Linked DNA regions of Lonchura striata. The protein of the gene in region 1 interacts with the protein of each later gene in a pairwise test. Links are inferred from orthologs where the notes say so. Each region holds a gene or a part of one and is shown on either strand. Other genes may lie near its edges.

What was found. The genes of interacting proteins can lie anywhere in the genome.
Region 2: the proteins of DZIP1 (region 1) and PPP2R5A interact in binary tests that used the Homo sapiens proteins (3 or more experiments, as listed by UniProt). The link is inferred for Lonchura striata from reciprocal best matches to the Homo sapiens genes DZIP1 and PPP2R5A.

The regions. Positions count from the first base shown.
Region 1 is NC_134604.1:76,786,286-76,797,193, reverse strand, and holds the start of DZIP1 (cilium assembly protein DZIP1), read left to right. Parts: upstream 1-6,348; 5' UTR 6,349-6,453; intron 6,454-8,197; 5' UTR 8,198-8,269; intron 8,270-9,603; 5' UTR 9,604-9,670; coding exon 9,671-9,673; intron 9,674-9,748; coding exon 9,749-10,243; intron 10,244-10,908. Other genes in the region: DNAJC3 (dnaJ homolog subfamily C member 3), read right to left, coding at 715-796. UniProt on the Homo sapiens protein: Molecular adapter that recruits protein complexes required for cilium assembly and function to the cilium basal body.
Region 2 is NC_134605.1:11,993,167-12,003,761, reverse strand, and holds the start of PPP2R5A (serine/threonine-protein phosphatase 2A 56 kDa regulatory subunit alpha isoform), read left to right. Parts: upstream 1-6,058; 5' UTR 6,059-6,344; intron 6,345-6,579; 5' UTR 6,580-6,655; coding exon 6,656-6,806; intron 6,807-6,891; exon of another isoform or gene 6,892-6,912; intron 6,913-10,595. UniProt on the Homo sapiens protein: The B regulatory subunit might modulate substrate selectivity and catalytic activity, and might also direct the localization of the catalytic enzyme to a particular subcellular compartment.

The DNA.
Region 1 (10,908 bases):
CTACACAGGTGTTACTGGCAGTGTACTATGAAAGTAAACAAGCTCCACAAAGCACAGATAAATTGAACTTCAAATACTAATGGTGAGAGGTGAAAAAGAAATAAGACCAACAAAAAAAACCACAAACAGAACAAATTCAACGCAACCATCAAAAGCCTCAGCGAATCTCTAAGTGTGGTACTAATACTGCCTGCGGCTGAGAAGGGCCACTGGAAAAGCCTTTGAACTTCGGAACTACACAAAATCCACACGGGAGTGCGAAATTCACGGCTAGCATAGAGGGCCGGTGCTGTCCCACAGCTGCACTCGAGGACAGCGGCACCCGAGGCCTCAGTGGCTGGCGGCAGCCCCAGCCCGTCCGTGACAGGCCGGCGAGCGCGAAGCACACACCGCGAGCCGCGTCCAAGCGCACGAACCCAACAGGTCACCGGCAGCGCCCGTGCCCTTGTTACTCATCCTTCGCCACGGCGCCGAGAGATGAGCTGGCAGCGCTGCACCTCCCTCCGCACACTCTTTCCCGAAATGTGCCCCCCGCTCAAGACGACACGGGCCCGAGGAGGGGGGAGCGTGGAGTGTGCGCCCCGCCGCCGCGGCGGAATGCGCGCAGCCCCGGCAGGAGGGCCGGACGGAGGGCGGGCGGCAGCCACCAGCCGCCACGGCCGCGGCACAGTACCCCCGCACCGCACCCCCACCAGGGACCCCGGCGCGGCTCACCCTGGTACTGCAGGTCGAGGAGCACGAGCAGGAAGGGCAGAGCGGAGCCCAGGCGCCCGGCCGAGGCGGCGGGGGACACCATCTCCTCCTCCTCCTCCTCCGTCGCCGCCCCCCGTCCCGACAGTGGCGGCTCCGGGCCGGGCCCAACCGAGCGGCGGCTCCAGCTCCTCCGGGCAGGGTCGTGGGCGACGCTGATTGGCCGCGCGGCGCGCGCCCGCCCCCGCCTGGCGCCGCCGCCGGACGTGAGGGAGCGGCGCGAGCGGGCCGGCCCCGCCCCGGCGCGGTGCCTCACGAACATGGCGGCGCGGCCGGCGCGGGCCCTCGGCGGACATGGCGGCGCCGCGCCCCGCCCGCTGAAAGGCGCACGGGGTGTGCGCCTGGCCGCGTCCGCATTTCATCTCTCTTTGCCCGCTCCCGCCCTGCTCGTCTTGACATCCCTTGAGTCAGAAGTTGTTAACGATTTTCTCAGAGAATTACAGAGAATGAAAATCGGATTGGGAAATACAGTCGTGCCTCATCACAGAAGCACAGAATATCCTGAGTTAGAAGGAATCCATCAGGCTCTTAAAGCCCAACTCCTGGCCCTCCACAGGGCATGCCAAGAATCACACCATGTGCCTGAGAGCATTGTCCAAACGCTTCTTGAGCTCTGTCAGCCTGGTGCTGTGACCACTGCCCTGGGATGCTGTTCCAGTGCCCAGCCACCCTCGGGGGGAAGAACCCTTTTTCTAATATCCAACCAAACCTTCCCTGACACAACTCCAGGCCATTCCCTCAGTCCTGTCACTGGTCACTACAGTGATCAGTGTCTGCCCTTTCTCCTCCCTCCATGAGGAAGCTGTAACTGCAATGGAGTCTCCCCCAGTCTCTTCTTCAGACTGAACAGACCAAGTGACCTCAGCCGCTCCTCGTATGGCTTCCCCTCTTGGCCCTTCATCCTCATGGCCCTCCTTTGGACACCCTCTAATAACTTCATGTCTTCTCCCGAGTTGGTGCTGGTAATATATAGTAACATCAGAGGGCGACAATTAGCAAGGAATGACTTGAAGCTACTCATTGCTTCAGAGACAGTGAACTGAATAAGATGACATTTGGTGGAGATAGTTTTATCTCTGGAGGACCCTGGAATGCTCGGTGATACAATCGATAGATACAATTTCATTAATTAATCTCGATTCCAAATCCACCCTAACAAAAGTTTCCTGATCCAGGAAGAATATAGAAGCAATATAGCAGACTGAACTGAGCAGAATATAGAAGTAATATAGGAGACTGTTGCATGCACAATCTAGTATGAAAATAAAGGAGGAAGTGAGAGAGGACAATAACACATAGGTGGTATTCTCAGGACTATTTCTTATAAGAGGTTTCTCAGTCCTTGTACCTCATTTTTGTTCTTACCTATGTGCATCTCTCTGTCAGAAACTTAGCTGTGATGGAGCTGCATTAAATAGTAGTGTACATCTGCTTAACATAGGATTCTTGTTTATCTAGGCTAATCTTTTGGGAATTTCACATTTGGATTGCTATTCACGGGAGACAGCTGTGGGGAAATTCCTTTATCTGGGTTCCTTAACAGTTAATAGAATTAGAAAGGCTTCTACAACCCACAGTTCAGCACAAGAGCTTAATTTACATGCTGTAAACTTGCACTTGGAAAAGCTGATGTTTGTCATTGGTCTTGAAAGGGAGTGTGAGTGTCCAGTCTTGTCTAGGACAAGGGAGTAAAATATTTAATTTATGAAAATATGCCCTTATTAAAACATGTATTGCATTTTTAGGGCATAGAATATGTCTCAATTAAAATGCTACTCTGAAAATCAAAAAAAATTGCTTCAAATATTGAGACACTTATTTTTCTGAAGTAAAGAATTTTATTTTGAAAATATATGAAAAATGTTAACATTAATGAACTCTTTGTATTTCTTGATTGAAGCAATTTCTGAAATTCAGTCTATTTGCATAACTAGTTTTGATTTCCCTGAAACTCATTTTGATTTACCTAGCATTAATTACACATATTTTTCCCAGCTCAACTCCAAATTTCAAACCTCTGTGATTCCAGGAAGCTATATTGTTTCTCTTGAATGTCTCTGATTTTACAAACTGAAAAATACCATTAACAAAGTGCTGTGCCATCACTGAAGGTGTTTGTTCTTATTTTGTCTTCCAAAACACCAAACAAGCAAAACTTGCATTTCTAAGCACTTTAACCAGAACTTAAGAGCATGTATGTGTGCAGCCTTACCTCTGCCTCCTCTAGCAGACAGCTCCATACTCTTCTTTCCTAAGAGGATGTTTCCATCTCTCAAGACATTATTCATTCAAGCCACTGGCAACAGAACCCTTCTCATGCAGAATTTTACAAGTTCATGTAAGCCATTGGTCAGTGATGCCATCTAGCATCCTCTTTTACTCACCCAGCTGCAGGCTGTTATAGCCACATCAGTGAAAAAGTGCAATGCAGTTGTTAGAAAAAGAACAAATATCTAATGTATGCCATAAAAAATTCATCTAGAGGTATTTAAGTGTTAAAATCCAAGTACTTGCTTGTGTGACCCTTCTGTTGCTGCAATTGCATCAATGGTTTCAGTGTCTTTGCAGACATTTCTCTATAGTTAAGTTGAATTCCCTCCGAGTTTGGAAGAAAGGAAGATACATGAGCTGGCCATCTCAGTAAAATCCAGCTAGACTTCTTATGTGAAGAGAAACTTTTAAGATAAACTGTTTTATTTTAAGATTAAAAAAAATTTAATTTGAAGAGTCTGAAGCACCCAAACTTGAAAATAAAATTTATTAAACTACATAGAGCAGTGTCTATTCAAACTGCTTAATTGTGGTTGGTGGTAGTTGTTGGATTGAAGAAGTGACACAAAAGGGTCAGGAGAGTGGTTCATTCTACCTTTCTTTAAAATATTTTGTTTTCCTGTGATAAAAATACATAAATTATTTCCTCAGGTAAACTGAGTGATGGAAAGTTTGAACAAATGGAAGTATTTATTATAGGTATTTGTCACAGTTTACCCCCAGCCAGCAACTAAGCGCCACACAGCCACTCGCTTGAAAATTGAAAAATGTGCCATGGTGCAAACTGGCAGGAAGGAAAAGATTAAATAAACTAAGAATCTGGCTAAGCTCATTATTATGCTTACACCATTCTGGTGAAGTCAGCTTTCCACCAGAGTTAATGATTACTTGTATGCGTCACTCTGAGAGCGCTGTAGGAGAGAGGTTACTGAAGAGTCCACTTCTCAGTTCCCAAGACAGTTTTTCCACTGCCCTCTCAAATTAAAATGTCTTGTACAACATGTGTAGTCCTCCTCCACACCACAAAATACACCAATAACTTTTTCACATAACACATTGCATCAGTGCTCTGGGGGCACTGCCAGGCCTGTCTGTCCCCACGCAGCCTCCCTCAGTGCCCAGTACCCCTGCTACTCAGGATATTTTCCAAATAGCCATTGCCAAGATGTCATCATATTTCACTCCACAATCAGAATACTCTCATTTTTCTGCTCTCCATTTGCAGGTACCTTCTATGAGCCTCGCAAATACCTTGGAAATGCTCTTGGTCCTCTCCTAGTAAATCCACGCATGTTTTAGGAGAGTACTTTTGTCACCAAGGCATATAAGGGTAGAACTCAGCACTAATGTGGGTTAAAGAATACCCACCCTTGCCAAGTGAGGCTGTACCACTTACAGCTAGCAATTAAAGATTAATCAAGCCCTGGAACAAATTAGAATAAAAGAATTAAAGGGTGAGAACCACCCCTTCACCATAAAAATCTTGGTTATAGCTCTCATCCAAGGCCTGCTTGTGTATTTTGTATTAAACAGGTACTAGAATAACCACCAAAATCCACATTTCTGCACACTTCATATGCCACTCTCCTCATCAACTGAAGAGCATTTCCAGCATTTTTGCACACAGTTAGCATTTATTTTGATACAAAAAAAAACTTTATTTGCAAGAGAAATCCTTAAAAGGCATGCTGAACAGACTCTGGTGTTGCCATTAGGGCATTCTAAGGGAATGGGGTATAGAATTTCTTGGGCACCCAAGGGCCTGTACTTGTTCATCTTGCTCTCTGAGTGCTCCAACTATTCACATATTCACAACTATTCATCAACTTGTATTGCATATTTGCCTCTAGGCCTGACCCATAGAGGCTGTGACTGTCACACTGCAGGTTTCCAAAGTCCTCTCTTAATTAAGGTTTACCACACTAAAGCCTTAATAAAGCATCTTCTGGCAATGCCTGCTTTAGTAGTCCAACAGATGTAGATCTGCAAAAGCAAAAGTCATTAGGACTGAGGACTGGATGTCCACATTTGATACATGTTCAGGTTTTCCTTCAGACTAGCCTGATCCTCTGAATTGAACACACATTAGTGACTGAAGCATGCTGAGGTACCCTTGGAGCATCAAAAACATAAGCACCTAAATTATTACCTCTTTTTTAAAGCTGGTGTTCACAGCATATGTGCCTACATCTACACTGTAGCAACAGAATTTCACAGTTCAGTAAGGTAAGCTGGTGTCAGTACTTTGGAAAACACAGTGGTATATCCCTGGCCAAATGGAATTCCTAAATGAAGATTAGGTGTTGTAAATGTCTAATGATTACTTCCATCACTGAATTTGCCAGCATAATTTATATTAAATACAAAGTGTTTGAAATTTTCCTTGTGGCCACAAAGGCTGCACAGCATTTATAATGGAAAAACACAATTTAAAACACTTACAGGGAAGAGGAATCAAATCAGAAGGATTTGAGGTAATCTGTAGCTGTTGGAATTATTCTATCTGCATGATGCAATACATATTTTAATTGAAAATAACAACTTCATCTGACATTACTTCTATAAAATACCTGCAGGAAAGCATACGCCCAACCTTATCCTGGCACTGGAATACGGTGTTTTCCTGCAAACGTCAGAAAACTCTCATGAAAGCTCCTCACCTTCTCCCGCTGGAGATTATCACTACGTTCTCGGTCCCTCGGGCTTCCCTCCAGCTCGGCAGGCAGGCGAGTCTCTGCAGACCCACAAACCCCTTTCCAGCTCGGTGCGCAGGCAGGATGCTGCAAATCCCGAGACCCCGCTTCTGCTCGGCGGGCAGATGGGATCCCGCAGCTCCTCAAGTCGCCCTATCCAGCTCGGTAGGCAGGAGGGCTCCTGCAAGCCCCAAACCCCCCGTCCATCTCGGGGAGCAGGCGGGCTCCTGCCCCCGCCCCACCGCCGCCCGCCTCGCGTCGGCGGGGACTCCCAACCCCGCTAAGAAGTTCGCTGCTCCACAGGTTTAAACGTGTCGTATGCGGTGACTGCGTGGCAAAACGTGCCTTGAACTCCCAAAGGCAGCCTTTCCAAAGCTTGTTGTAACTTCCCTTGCATTTTACAAAAAGGGAGAGAAAAGGCTTCTTCTCGGTCGGAGAGGCTCGGGACCGGACTAAGACAAAGGACATCCCGCCCGGGCATCAGCATCTGCCGGGCAGGTTATCAAGGAGGGAGCGTGGACGAGCAGCGGGGGAGCCCCCGCCTGCCCTGGGCGCCCACCCCTCCGCAGCCAGCCCCGCGAGCGGCCCGGGGTAGCGGGGCCGGCGCGGGACGGGCCCGGCGGAGGCGGGGGCGCAGCCGCCGCGGCACCGCCGCTAACGGCAGGGGCGGGAGCGGCCGCAGCCCCGCCGCCCCTCCGCACCCCTCCGCCCGCCGAGACCCGCGGAGCTGCAGCCGGAGGTGAGCGCAGGGGTCTCCCTTTCTCCCCCCGCCCCGGGCGCAGCGGGGTGGCGGGAGGCAGACTCCGGAGGGGCCTCTCCGCTGGGGCAGGCGGCAGGGAGAGGCGAGGCGGCCGCGCTCCGAAACGGAGCTGCAGGTTTTGGCAGGCAGATGGAGCCCGGCTCAGGGCCTCCCGCAGGCCCGGCCGCGCTCGGCCGCCTCCCGAAGCGCCGCGTCTGGGCCTGGCCCGCGGACACCGCCGCGGGGAAGCGCCGCTTTTCCCCCGTCCCGCCCGTCCCGGAGAGGAGCGGCGGCCGGGGATGCAGGCGGTGCCACCCTTGACCAGGCCTCGCGCGTGGGTGATCACTCTAAATTCTTCATGGGCACAGCTCCCAGAATAGAGTAAAGCTGGCAGAAAGGAAAGGGAAAAAAAGATCGAAAAGGGCCGCCTCCGCCCGTGCGTACTTTCTCTGTCTCCATCGAGATGCTAGGGCGGTTTATTCGTCTTCTCGTAGTGCTCCTCCCATCCCTGGCAGAGTTCAAGGCCGGGTTGGATGGGGCTCTGAGTGACCCGGTCTACTAGAAGGTGACCCTGCCCATGGCAGCTGGTTGGAACTAGATGGTCTTTAAGGTGCATTCCAACAAGGACCATTATATGATGCATAGATGATGTACCACTGCAAGGTCGCGTTCAATTAAAGCATGCAAATCTGTATGGATATTCCTGACTAGATACATTGGTTGAGGAGAATAAGCTGTCCTCAGGCATAGTTTACTTTGCTGGCTTTAAATAATGTTTGGTTATTTTTTTCTAATTAATTTCAGGCTTCTTCTGCTTGACACACAAAGTGGTAGCTTTCAAAATTCACATGGTTTTTATGTAAAGAAATTTCTCCTATGTCAAATAGATGGAGCACATATTGGGCTTAGATCTTTGGGAGCTAGATTTCATTATGTGTAATATGATATGATATGTATATTTGCTATACATCAAAAAAAGTTAAATAGATTTCTTTGAAGATTAGCTGGAGACTGTTCGTGGAAAATGAGGCGGCAAAAATGTCATTCTTGTAGGAGAAGGCTGAAATGTTGGAACATCACACAATATCTTTTCTAAATTAAAAACAAGTGGCGTGGTAAGTGATGGAAGAATCTAAATGGAACTGAACCTTGGGTATAAGTGTGACCAGTAGGCTTAAGGTTCAAGGTCCAAGAAGCAACAACCAACATAGAAATCTACATAAGACTAAGAGCTTGTAATTTGTGAGGGTGCTCATGTTGGTGCACCTAGCAACATTGCTGGTATTTTTGTGGAAGTAGTTCTATATTGTGATTACTGGTAAACATGTTACTGTTTATGTTGGAGAGGCAATGTTAAAAGTGCAGATGAAAGATGAGGTTCATTACAAGTTCCTAGGAGGTGAAAGGAGGGAAATTTATGGGGGGGTATGAACTATGAGGAGGAACTGAAAGGGGACAAAGGAGGCCTAACATGGTTAGTATCTAAATGGTCTATGAGAAGAAGCTGAGGGACCTGGGCTTATTTAGTATGGTAAAGAGAAGGAAAAGGGGTACTCTTGTAGTGGCCTGCAGTTACTTGAACAATTGTGGCAAAAATATTCAAACCATTTTTTTAATCTTGGTAATAGCAGATACTATTATTAAAGTGAAACATTAAGAAAAATGTTTTCATCAGGAAGAGAGCAGACATACAGGAGGTTGTACTGGGAGGTCATGGATTGTCTGTTCTTCTTAAATGCCACAGGTGATGTGAACTAGTGTGCGGCAGAAATTTGGACTGGACGATGATCACCAGAGGTCCCTTGAGAACATCTCTGTGAGTCTATAATGCATGATGTAGAGGAATCTACGGAACGGAGTGTATGGTCAGATATATATTGTGTGACTGTTCTTAGAGAGGTATGTATCTAGGAATGACCAAGAGGATGAGAAACTAAAATATGTGTGGAAGGGACTGAAAAGTTAGGGAGGTATAAATGTGGAACATGGCAATAAGGCAGACATAGCTAGGAGACTGAAATATTAAGAAATGGTAACAGGAAGAGCAGGTTTTTGGAGAAGAATGAAATAGGGTGATTTTGTATGTTGGAGGGGAAAGATGCTGCTGCTCAGAAATAGTGTTTGAAGCAACCAAGCAGGTGCAAGGGAAACACCGTAATGGGGAGCACTGGGGACTGAGGTGAGGCAGGGATATAGGCAGAAGTTGTTGGTTGCATTGAAGAAAAGTATTTGTGCATGGATGGTAAAGTAGGTGATGTATGCAAAGCACGAGGGGCTGAAGGGTTTGGGATCGGTAGTATGAGACAGGAACAACAGATGTGGTGAGGTTGTAGGGTTTTATGGTTGCAGGAGTGGGTCTGGTGTGTGCTGATACCAGGCAGAGGTGTGTTGATTCGATGAGTGACGGGAGCATGTGGAAGCGGCATGCAAAGTGTGTGACTGTGTTAAGGTGAGCCCTTTGTTTGAAAGCACCCAGCAGGAGGTTGGTGTGTGGGCATTGGGAGGGATGTGGAGTTGCAGTGGAGAGATTGCATAGAGCTACGAGCTAAGGCACATGAGGGCGCAGCGGTGTGAAGATGTACGGAGAAACGCTGTATATATGAATGCTGATGGTAGGGAGGTGACAGGTGTTGTCACATCTGGGAGAAAGTTGAGTAGGCAAGGCTGGAGAAGGGCACAGGACAACACAGGTATAGAGGAGTGTAAGTCATGGCAGACTGAGAAAGGTCAGAGTCAGGAGCAGCACGGAGGGGGCACCGGATGGGGATGCACGTTGATGCAGTGAACGTGTGAGTAGGGTGGCATGTACAGACTTCAAAGAAGCCAAGGGAACGTGGAGAGAGAAAGCGTATGCTGTGTAGCTGCATTAAGGATGTATAAACATAAGAGCGAAGCCGAGGATACGTTTGTTGGTGCGAGTGGCGTGTGAAGATGGTAAAGGATGCGCTGCGTGCGGTGCCGGCACCGGGAGCCGCGGGACAGAGCTCCTTAGCGCGGCGCTGTCGGGAGGCTGTGGAGGCGCCGCGGGAGAAGGATGCCCGGAGGGAGAAGGACGGGATTTGCGCCGTGCACGGAGCCGAAGGGCCGTGGGGCGGGGAGAGGCGGGGCGGGCGGTACAGCCCGGCGTCACTGCCGCCTCCCCTCGCTCAGGCCGGGGCTGCTATAGCGACGCGGAGGACGCCGGCGCCGCGCGGAGCCGCAGGGACGGAGCCCGGACATGGTGAGCGCCGGGACGGGCGGGCGGCGGGGCGGGCGGCGAGTGCCGGCCCGGGCTGAGCCGTGTCTCTCCCCGCAGCCCTTCTCCCAGCGCACCTACCACCCGCCGGCGGCCGGGCCCGGCGCCGGCCCGGCGGCGTTCCCCGCGTTCCAGTTCCGCGGGAGGCACGAGAACCCGGACTGGCGGCGGCTGAGCACCGTGGACGTGGAGCGGGTGACGCGGGAGGGGGACGTGGCGGCCCTGCAGGCGCACCTGGAACATGTCACCTTCTGCACCGCCGAGCGGGAGTGCTGCCCGCACTGCCAGGGCCCCGCAGACCCGCTGTTGCTGAAGCTGCTGCGCCTGGCGCAGCTCTCTACCGAGTACCTGCTGCACTCCCAGGAGTACCTCAGCGCCCAGCTCGGCAGCCTGGAGGAGGCCCTGAGAGAGGCACAGGCCCAGCGTGACAAGGTGGTCAAGGAATTGGCCCAGCACTTACAGCAGATCCAGGGGCTTAAGGAGGAGTGCCGGCGGAGGAAGAAGATGATCAGCAATCAGCAGATGATGCTGGAAGCACGAGCCAACTACTACCAGGTGAGAGGAGAGGGCCTGGTAGCCCAGTCACCCACACCTTGTCAGCTCTGGGCCTGTGGAATGAGCGGCAGAGCAGCCCCGCTCTGCTGGGGTGTAGTTGTTTGCTGGGTGAAAGGCTGGAACTGTAAGGACCAGTGACTTTGCAAAAGGAAGTGCGTTGCTGGCACTTGTTTTCCATCTGTGTTTCAGAGACTCTTAAGAGAATGCTACATCATCTTTAACAAATCCTCTTTTTACTAACAGGTGCTCTTTACTCTTGGGTTCGCTTTAGATGCATCTGAAATGTCAGATACACACACATACAAAACCTGTGATAAACATGTTGCTATTTTGTTGTGTTGCTGTCTTTCCTTGTCTGCCAGCTGTGTGGTGAGAAAACACACAGGGCAAATGCATCGGAACTGATGCTGAGCCGTAATGTACTGTCTACAAGAAGTCACTGTCCTGCACTGATGTTCTCCAGGCACAAAGTTGCTGCCTGTATGTGTGACTCAGAGGTGACTCAGGCAAGATGGTAAAGAGCTTCAGTGAGTTAGCACAGCTCTGATTCCACAACAATCTGTTCCTAAAGGGTTTTCTTAATATACAACTTAATCTTAATATACAAGAATCTTAATATACAACTGTTCTGACAGTGTCATGGCACTCTGTTTATATTTTGTCTC
Region 2 (10,595 bases), on another chromosome or scaffold:
TCATCCAGAGGTCCCACCTAATTGTCCACCTGAAGAGCCACACTGAGGAACGGCCCTACAAGTGTGAGGTGTGTCAGAAGAGCTTCAAGAAGGCCTCCCACCTGACAGTCCACATGAGGAGCCATACAGGGAAGAGGCCCTATGAGTGTGATGAATGCAAGAAGAGGTTTCAGAGTAGGGAAAATCTCTTCCTGCACCAGTGGATTCATTCAGAGGAGAGGCCTTTCTGCTACCCTGACTGCGGGAAGAGCTTTAAGCACAACTCCCACCTCATCACCCACTGGTGCATCCACAGTGGGGAGAGGCCCTACGAGTGTCCTGAGTGTGAGAAGAGGTTCAGGCACATCTCAGCCTTGACCAGACACAAACAGAGGAAGCACTAAGGTGCCTGTGAGTCCCGTGAGTGCAGGAAGATCTTTGTGGGATGCTCCAGTGTGCTGGCTTTGCATTGAAGCCATTCACAGAAGTGACTAAGAGAAGCTGCTACTAGTTTCCTCTGTCTGACAAAAACTTACCAGTAATTAGCCCTGAGAATTGACAATCTGTTAAACCATTGAGAAAGCTGGACATGCCTCTCTGAATAGCTGCCAAGGGGCTGTCCTGGCACCGAAGGGGACTCTGGGCCCCTTGAGATTGCAACACAGCCCCCAGCGTGGCCTCAAATCCATCATCACGACTGCATTGCTGCCTGGCAGGGATCACGTCACCATCTGCACACCCCGGGTGAGATACAAACTCTTTCAGTGCAGAGATGAGACCCACAGACACCAATCCTCTCTTGAGTGAGAGAAAAGGACAGAGTGAGGACATGCAGAGGAACAACATGAATACACCAAGGTTAGTGAAGAAAGAGTCAAGTCCCAGATGGGAAGGATGAGGAGATGCCTTGACCTTGAAATCCTCTTGTAAAGCTATGGAGAAGAATATTTGACTCTTTTCCCCCCTGTAACCCATTGAAAAGTATGGGGAATAAAGGGTTCAAATTGTAGATATGAGCAAAGGCATTTATGCTAAAGTAAGCAGATGTTGAAGCAGCTGTGATCACATGACAAGTTTGAACAGAGAGAGAAGATGGATGAAGACCCTTTGCCCATCCAGAAAGAAGAAGACCTCTGTTCCCAGAGATGATCTCAGAGATAAATAAGGAGAACCTTTGCTCTTAAACAGCTCATCCTTAAAACAGTACCCCATAAATTGACATGGCCCATGAACACAGCTGTGGTAAAAGCTGTGAAAAAAGGGAGAGACTTCATGATTGCAGATTTCTGGGCAACTGCTGTTCGTGGAAATTAAAAGCCACGAGAGAACTGTTTTCTTGTGGAGAAATTTCCATAAATTGACAAGAGGGACTCCGCTCCCTAAGTGAACCGAAGAAAGATTGTTCTAGAAGTGATAAACTGACTGACTTGTTTCTGTGCTTTGTTAGTGGGAAAGAAAATGTTGTAGGAGAGGGAGAAGTGTTCTAAAGGTTTTATTCTGATTATTATTATTCTTTCTTTTAGTTAATAAAGTTTTCTTTACCCTTTTAAAGTTTTGATCCTGCTTTACCTTCCTCCTAAACCTATCTCACAGCAGGAAAGGAGTAAATCTAGGGGGTACATTGGCATTTGACCAACAGTAAACCCACCACAGACTGTAATGATGTAGTCACAGGTACACTGAAAGGAGTCAAACTCAGGACCCTTACAAACAAAATCTTGCCATCTAACCTCTGAATTCCAATCCCTGAATTTCAAATTCTGCCCTGGGATTAAGGTGACAAATGGCCCTGAGATTACTAATGCTGTATTATTCAAGGATTTGTCAAGCAGAAGACTTGGGAACACTTATGCTTGATATCTACTACACAAGATAGACTACAGAACATATGTATGTAAGCATATAGTTTATCCTGAACTAGGTGGATATCTCACTTGGTTCTACTGGGGCATTAGTCCAAGGAAGTATTTTAATCTAGGACTAAGCCCCTCACATTTGCAGACAGGCTGAGTGAGTTGGAGTTCTTCAGCCTGGAAAAGAGAAGATTCCAGGGAGACATTAGGGTACTTCCTATATCTAAAGGGGGTCTAAAAGAGAGCTGGAGAGGGACTTACTAAAAGGGCATGTAGTGACAGGACAAGGGATAATGGCTTTACTCTGAAAAAGGGTAGATTTAGATCACATATGGGGAAGAAGTTCATCACTGTGAAGAGGGTGAGGCACTGGAACAGGTTACGTGTTGCCCTGATTTATAAAAGTGTTAAGTTTTCTTTTATAGTTCTTTTGAAAGTTTTAAAGTTTTTTTAAAAGTTTTCTATGCCTTCTGATGTTTACATATTTCTACTGGAGTTCTCATACACTGTTCATGTTGATAAAGATTGTTTTGCATTCTTCTTTGTGGGAGGAAAGAATTGATGGACTGGTTGGTTTGACCAGTGTGGTTGGAGAGGTGGCAATTTCATCCTCCAATCCACTGTCGCTTTTGGAATTTCATATATTGCGAGGTCAGAAATAAAATTTGTGCTTTTTTTCCTTTGAACTTACCAAGCTTCTGTGTGCTCGTTTTGTGTCCAATAGCGACAGTTACCCAGAAAAACTGTGGATGCCTTATCCCTGGAAGAGCTCAAGGCCAGGCTGGATGGGGCTTTGGGCAACCTGGTCTAGTGGAAGGTGCCCTTGTCTATAGCAAGGGGTTTGGAACAAGATGATCTTTGAAGTCCCTTCCAACCCAGGACATTCTGTGATTCTGTGAAATACCCTGAAAAACTGCTGGGTTTGTGCAGTAGTAAATATAAGCACAGTTGCAGTCAACAGGGTTTTTCATATTCATTTTGAGAGGGAAATCAAATTTTCTCAACAAACTTTCTTGGCTGAGAGTTCACCCACTTAGGGCATCCTCTTTACTAAAATATTCCTCCCACTGTCTCTGGGAAGAGATAGATTTCTGGCAGCTTGGCCTCCAAGCATCCGTATGGATGAATGGGAAAGCAGAGCTGTAGTTAACTCCTCATCTGCTGGCAGCCAGGCAACTCCCTGCAGCAAAAATCTGGTAGCAACCTGGTACTTGAAGCACCAGATTTGCAAGACAACTTGGCCAGGATTCTGCAAGCTAATGATGCGTCATGTTCTTGTTCACCTTTCCAAAGGTTTCTCTTCTGGGTAAAAAGATGATATGAAAATGCAGGAAATAATCATCTGTGGCTAAATGAAAAGAACCATAAATGCGACTTTCAGTAAAATCTGCTCCAGAATGTTGCTCCTCCGTTCTGAATAATGATAATGAGCCTTCTTCAAAGCTAGAGATATGCGAGAGGTTTTGCAGAATCAAGGCCTCAGTGCATACTGAGGAGCCTGATTTAGGAGTGGGAATAGCTTGGCATAAAATTACTATTCACAACATTCTCTGTGGACACCGCAGACTTCAATGAATTGCATCTGGAGCCAGCAGCTTGTAACCTGGCATCATCCCTGTGTGCCTTTAAATATACTCTGAAAACCAGGGGCTTCAGAAGCTGACTCAGAGCAGCTCTGACAGCTGTGTAGGAAGCAGAAAGCAGGGAAGGGCAAACTCCAGCCCTCTCAAACACAATTATTTCAGACTGCCACTCACAGCTCTTGTTTCATTTTTTGTCTCCAAATACCCCAGTCCAGCAGGCCTGTATGTTCCAATGATTTCACACATTGATGTAATTCCACTGACTTCAAGTGCAACTTAAAGCAAACATTACCATTTCAGTTTAGGAAACTGTAGCTGGTCACCAGAGATGCTGCTCATTCTTTTCTGAAACAGAAGAGTTATATTAAAAAGACAAAAGAAAACTCAATGGCTAGAAGTACTTCTTATTTATTTGAGAGAATAAACGTTTTGTTTTGTGTAGCTGACTCAGATCTCACCAATATTTCTTTTACAAATGATACATGAAGATGCAGTCTGAAAATATCTTTCAGTGCAATCAATATGAAAATCCCATCATTGCAAGGAAGGCTTGGTGTCATGAATTTCAACTGCCAACAGATTTTTTAAAGCACATTTTCAAACAGCACTTCTAAGCCTAAGCAACCTTGGGGAAAACACTTTAAACCGCAGAAAACCAACATTTTTACATTTTACAACTAGAACATGTATCAAGCTTCCTTAACAAATCCTGAAATGCTGATGAACCTCTAAGGTAGACTCTTTTACCCTGGGAATTGGAAGCAAGGCTTGAGTTGCCAATAAACAGTACACAGGACACGCTGGGCAGTGTCAGTTTCTAAAAATGGGTGCAGAAGCAAATGACAGCTGTTGGAGGGCAGGCAGGAACAGAGGAACACACCGATACAGGGGCTTGGCCCCAGTGATCTCTCAATAAGAGCTGTGGGCCTTGAAGTGAAGTGAGAATTAATCATGTAATTAATGCAAGGATTTCCTTTACTGCAATCAATATTGGAGCTGGTAGTTTAAAGGACAAGTACCTAGAGACTGCTATGTTGTCTGTAAAACAGATTTTATAATATAAGGAAATGAAATGAAAAGTCTACAACACCTACAAGATTGATAAAAGTATATTACATTAGTACTCTATAATTTCTAGATATGTTCTATCCAGAATTTAATCTAAAGTGTATAGAAAAGGCTTGTCTCAGCTCAGCTCATAGGGGTTATAGAATATTTTAAACCAGAAAAGACCCACAAGGATCACTGAGTCCAACTCAAGTGAATGGCTCATACTCCCTCTCTCTACTAAAGATTATTTCACCAAAAGCAAAGAAGATGAGCAGTGCACAAGTTAGAGACTGTGTTGACATAGGAAAGGAAAATGAAGAGACAGAAGCAAACAGGGAGATCTGTTTCTACTGAATAGGCTATCACACTCTTAGTCTTTTACATTCATATAAAGCTATAATCATTTGCCTTTTGATTTATGGTTTATATACACAGAGATTAAAGTCCAACTCATGTAATGAAGGCATTTTACAAACATTTACGGTGATCTTATTGTATTTATGCCCTACCACAGCTACCGAAACTTGAGTGTGTGCTTAAAATACTACAAATGCTTATTTGCTATATCGGTATCCAAACCTATGTAGCAAAAAGAAATGCGCTGACGTGCTCAAAACTTAGCGGTACGTGAATGGCCACAAGACACGGCATCCCGCGTGTCCAGCTCCGCACGGGGGCGGGGGAGCCGGGTACGGGAACGGGCCAGCGCAGGTCAGATCCTGATGCAGCCCGCGGCGCACACGCAGCCGTGGCTGTCACCGGCCCGGCTGCAGCCCGAGCCCCGCAGGCGGATCGCGCCCAGCAGCGGGACGGGCTCCCGGCTGCGCATCCAGCCCGGGAAGCTCGGGCAGCGCCGCCTCCAGCCGCTGCCGCGCTGCCAGCCAGGGAAAACACCGCGGCCGCGCCGACCGTCACACACCCGAGCCCAGCGGAGACCAAAGGAGACCTTAAAGCGCTGAGGCGTCGGGAGGGTGGGCGAAGGAACCAAAAATTCGGGAGCAGTGGGGACACGGCACGGAGATACGCTTGGGAGCGCAGCGCGCGCTGCCGCGGCTCCCGGCGCTCCCGGCGCTCCCGGCTCCCGGTCAAACACCCTCTCGGCGGTGTCCCCGTGAGCGGCACCGCCGGGCGCGGGACGCTCGCTGCGCCGCTCCCCCGCCCGCCGCGGGATTGGCCGGAGCGCGCCCCGCCCGCCATCCCGCCCCTTCCCCTTCCCCTTCCCCTTCCCTTTCCCCTTCCCTTTCCCTTTCCCTTTCCCTTCCCCCCGCCGGGAAGCCCCGCCCACCCCGCCTCCCCCGCTCCCGGCTGGAGGAGCCGGCTGTCAATCATCCGGTCCCCGGCGCGCGGCCCAACTCCCGCGTTCTCCCCAGGCCTCCGCGGGCGGAGCGGGGGGCGTTCCGCATTCCTCTCCTTCCATTGGTCGCTCCGGGCCGTCAATCACCCGTCGCCGCCAACCGCTGCCTCTGCCCCCGCCCTCGCCCCGCCCCTCCCTCCTCCCTCCGCTCAACTCCGCTCGCTCCGCCAAGTTGTGCGGCCGCTGCCCGGCGGCTCCGGGGTTGTGGCGGCGCCACGCGCGGCGGCCCCCGGCGGAGCGCGACGAGGCGGGATGACGGCGGAGGCGCGGGGAGCGCCCGGCGGCGGCTGAAGGCGGACAAGGGGCGTGTGGAAGCGAGCGGCTGAAGCCCGGGGGCGAGTTCGGCTGATGACAGCGGGCTCGACTGAAGGGGACGCAGAGCGAGCGAAGCGGGAGCGGGGCAGCGGCGCCGCCGAGCCCGTCCCGCAGCGGGTCGCGCCGCGCCTGCCCTGAGGACAGCGGGACCCCGGGAGGGAAAGTTTGGCGCTCGCCCGCCCCCGCCCCGCCGGGCAAAGTTGTCTTTGGGTTTGTTTGTTTGTTTTCCCTTTCCTCCTCCTCCTCCCCCCTTCCGCTCCCCCGCCGGCTCCGCGCGGGGAGGAAACGGCGAGGGAAGCAGGAACTGAGGAGCGACCCGGGAGCCTCCCCAGCGCCCGGCAGAGCCCGCTCCGCTCCTCTCCTCGTCGGTGCGGTGTGTGAGGGCAGCCAGGACTTCGTTTTTGGTGGTGTTTTTCGTTGTTGGTTTTTTTTTTTTTTTTTTAAGTCCCTTTGTTTTTTGCCCGCCCGCTTCTCCCTCCGGTACAATATATGCTCGTGGAGAGCCGCCCCGCCGCCCAGCCATGTCGGCGGCCATCTCTGCCGCGGAGAAGGTGGATGGCTTCACTCGGAAATCGGTGCGCAAGGCGCAGAGGCAGAAGCGCTCGCAGGGCTCCTCGCAGTTCCGCAGCCAGGGCAGCCCGGTGGAGCTCTCGCCGCTGCCCCAGCTCAAAGGTACGAGCCTGCCCTCCCCTCCGGCTGCAGGTGCCGCTGCCCACACCGCCTGCCCCGCGCCCTCTGCCCTTTAGCCGTGTCCTCCCCTGCCCCCGCTGCTTTCCAGGTAGGGACCCGCGGCAGGAATTGCTCCTCTGCTCGCACCACCCAGCGCCGCTGTCCCGGGCGCCGACTCCGCTAACTCGCCACCCCCCTATTCTGGCTGTTCGCGTGCGTTTTAAGGTCTTACTGAGGAAAATGTAGACGGTAAGTTGAGCTGGGGAGTGCAAGCAATTGAGCGCTAAAACCTGGGAGCGAGCGGTGGCTCCTCCCACGGGGGTTTTGCGGAGAGGAGCTGTGCCCGAGGCGTGACATCCCGAGTTAGCGGAGAGCTCGCCTTGGGCTGCCCCGGCTTTCGCACCGCTCTCGGACGGTGCTGGGACGGCGTTTTGCTGCTCTCCAGGAGTTGCCTCGGAGACTTCCTCCAGCACAGTCTGTGTGGCGACACTCTCACGCGAATGAAAACTCTGGATGAAGCGGAAAATAGACAGTGATGGTTTTATCCGCTGTGCTGGTTCTAAAATTTGAGAAGGCTCAGTTCATTAGGTCATAAAAATGAAGCGAAGTTCATTGCAAACTTCTACATCTTTGACCATCCGAATACGTTTCTGTATATTTTTAAAATTACGAAAGGATATGTTGAGAGAGTATAAAGCTTGTTATTAAAGCATTTATCAGGGACTTGAAAAATAAGGTAGAGCGACTACTTTAACGTGACTTAGCATGTTAATTTTACTTCCACTGGCTTTAAGGTCTTAAGGCTTTTGAAGCTGCATCATGTGATGGTGGAAAAAAAAAAATCTGATTTGCAGTGAATATCCAAAATCTGAATGAGATATAGTAAACATAAAAATATTCATAGGTACTAAGTTTGGATTTTTTTTTCAGTTTGATTTTTATGGCACTTACAGTCATGTCTAATATTTCAGGGCTGTCACGTTTTTTCTGCTCTTTGAGTGACAGATGTACATGAATCATAAATCTGGCTCTTAGCAGAAATGTTATTGACTAGAAATAAGCTTAGGCAAGGGAGTAACAAGGGCAGGGTTGTTTGGTTTTAAAATGTTTGTTGCAGTCGGTTTGGGTGTTAGTTTTAACAGCAACAGCAGGATTGTTCTTGCTCCTTGTTATGGGCTTTCCTTCCTCTATGAAGTTGTGTCCTGTCTTGGTCCGCTACTTTGATTTGAGGGATATATAACCTGGATATTTTGTTTGAAACTAAGATTCAGTTTCTGCTGTTTCCATGCAGTTTAGACAATACATTTTCCTCAGAGCTGAATTTGAGAAACCACACTTGGGACTTTGTAAAGGCCCTTGGTAAATACTGCATATAGGTGGCAGACTTCAGAAAGTTTGAGTCCTGGTCCAGCAAACAGTTAAACATACGTGTGTTATGCAGGGAGCAATTCCAGCTTCAATCAGCAAAATGTCCAAGTTTACATTCTTTGCTGAGCTGGGACTTTAATATTAAATTTTTAACTCTGCATTATTAAGTCTTGTAGTTTTTTGAGTGTGGTTTTATAACTTTTTATTTGTAATACAGAAAAATTTTGCATGCCATCAGCAGCTCACATGTTTGGAAATTTGAAGCCATAAACCAGCAAAGGAATTTCTTCAGTTATGCAGGGTTTTATAGTAGTTTGAATCGCCTTATTGCCTTAAGTTCTTAAAGGAAAATCCCTTCAGTCTTTATGCTTATGATTCAGATGTGAAGTCTTGCCTTGGAGACCTGCTTCAGAACAGAAATTGTGGGCAAAATATACTTTTATGAGCTGTAGTGTCCCAAGTAGGCAGTTTGCAGAAAGTCAAACAGCACTCCTTTTGCTTGCATTTTTCCCTTAGGTTTGTGATGTTAGATTTGTCCCGTAGCTGTGGACATGGGATAGTTTCTTTTCATAATGCTCCCTCTCTCCTTTTTCCTTTTAAACCTTCCTTGCCTCTGAAGCCAGAAAAGGTTCTAAAAAGAGTTTGCTCTCTCTGCAAATGGATCGTTTTATAAAACTATTTGTTCTAATCGCTTGTGTCTTGGGAAGATAAATCTTTGCTTTATTTGTTAAAGTTAGTATGGAATTTAGCAATAGTCTTGATGCTGCTAGTGTAATATCATCTACAGACTCATGAGCCAGAATTTACAGGGATGGGCTGGAAAAGGAAAGTACAGTCATTATAATGATGCCTGCGGGTGCTCAGCATACACTTAGTAATTAGAATAAGTTTTTACTTTTACAGACCTCTGCAAATAAATGTTAAACCTGAGGTATTTCAAACCTGTATTGGGAGAAAATGCAATATTTTTAGATGAAAAAGCTGTTTGGTATTGTGCTGCTGTAAAATATTTCATCTTGTTTATAGGAATTGTCTTGTTTTATCACTTTTAAGAGACAATATTCTAAAATAAGTATAAACAGTATTTTAAAACTCCCTAGTAGGTTTGTCAGACTGCCCTAAAGGACTTGCATCTATTTTACTGGAGGGAGAGATGTTCCAGAAGAAAACCAGAAATTACCCATCAGTTTAGAAAGTACCTTCTTGGGTAGTAAATGTTGTGGGATTTTTCCTTTTCTGTAGGGGTTGCTTTGTTTGCCACTGGAATGGCCAGCTCAGATGGTGAGACACGCTTTCAGAGTTGTACTGTTTTAAAGCCTTTAGACAGATAATCTTAAAAAGACATGTTTCTGCAGTTAATTGTACTGCTGCTCTGAATTGCCAAAATTCTGTGCTTTGGCTGTGCATTTCTTCTATCAGTGATACATCACATCTCTTACTAGTGAGTAACAGTCCCCAGTAGCAGGAGCTCTTCCCTTCAGAGGTGTTTTTTTTGGGGGGGGAGTGAGATGGAGAGGAGGGATGGTAAGGTTCTGTGTTGTGATTAACATTCAGCTTGGCTTTGTGTGTGATGATATCTATCCTGTGTAGGTGAAAGCTCAGCAAAACCTGACTGATGGCAGGATACTCAAAATAATTTAGTAATGTGTTCTTCAGTTAATTTAGGAGATTTCCTAAAGCACTGTTATTCAGGACAGTGTCCATCTTGCTATATTATTTAACAACTGAATAAGAAATACTGAAGACAGAGTGATGATATTTAAAAGAAAAAAAAAGATTGTTTAATCACCTCCCAATCTTCTTTTCATTTTGTTACCTAAAGTTTGCGTAATAACAGAATTTTGAAGAATCTTCAGCCAAAGTAATGTGCTGGAACACAGCATGATTTTGTCATTTCATGGGCAATTCTGAGAGTGTTGCTTTTAAAGAAATCTGGCAAAGGTAGTGTTATTTTTGTTATCTTTAGAAGTGGTAATTTTGTCCCAATAGGAGATTGTTTTAAGAGACTGCAATAGAACATGGCAGTTACCTTCATTTTTGACAAAGAGATGCAGCTTGACCTTGGAACCTGATCTGACTCTCTCCAGTATGCATGCTTGTCTCAGTCACTTTTGGTTGAAGCAGCATGTAGAAATACAGGTGGAAAGTGGTGAATAGAAAACCCAACTTGCTGCTTTTATTTAGTGCAGTTAATATGGTCTGTCAGGTTGTAAAGCAAATAGATTTTTTTTTTGTCTTCTGTGTACCAAACTTGTCAAGTGCAGCTGGAAAGAATAAACATTTCCTGATGCCTCTTACCCTCACAAGAGAAGAACTGGAAGGTGGTCTAGAAATCTTTCAGCCATGAACTAGCAATAGTTAGAGGGATCTCTGTGGGGCTGAGAGTTACAGAGGTGGAGTGTACTGGAATGAGAAGACATTTTT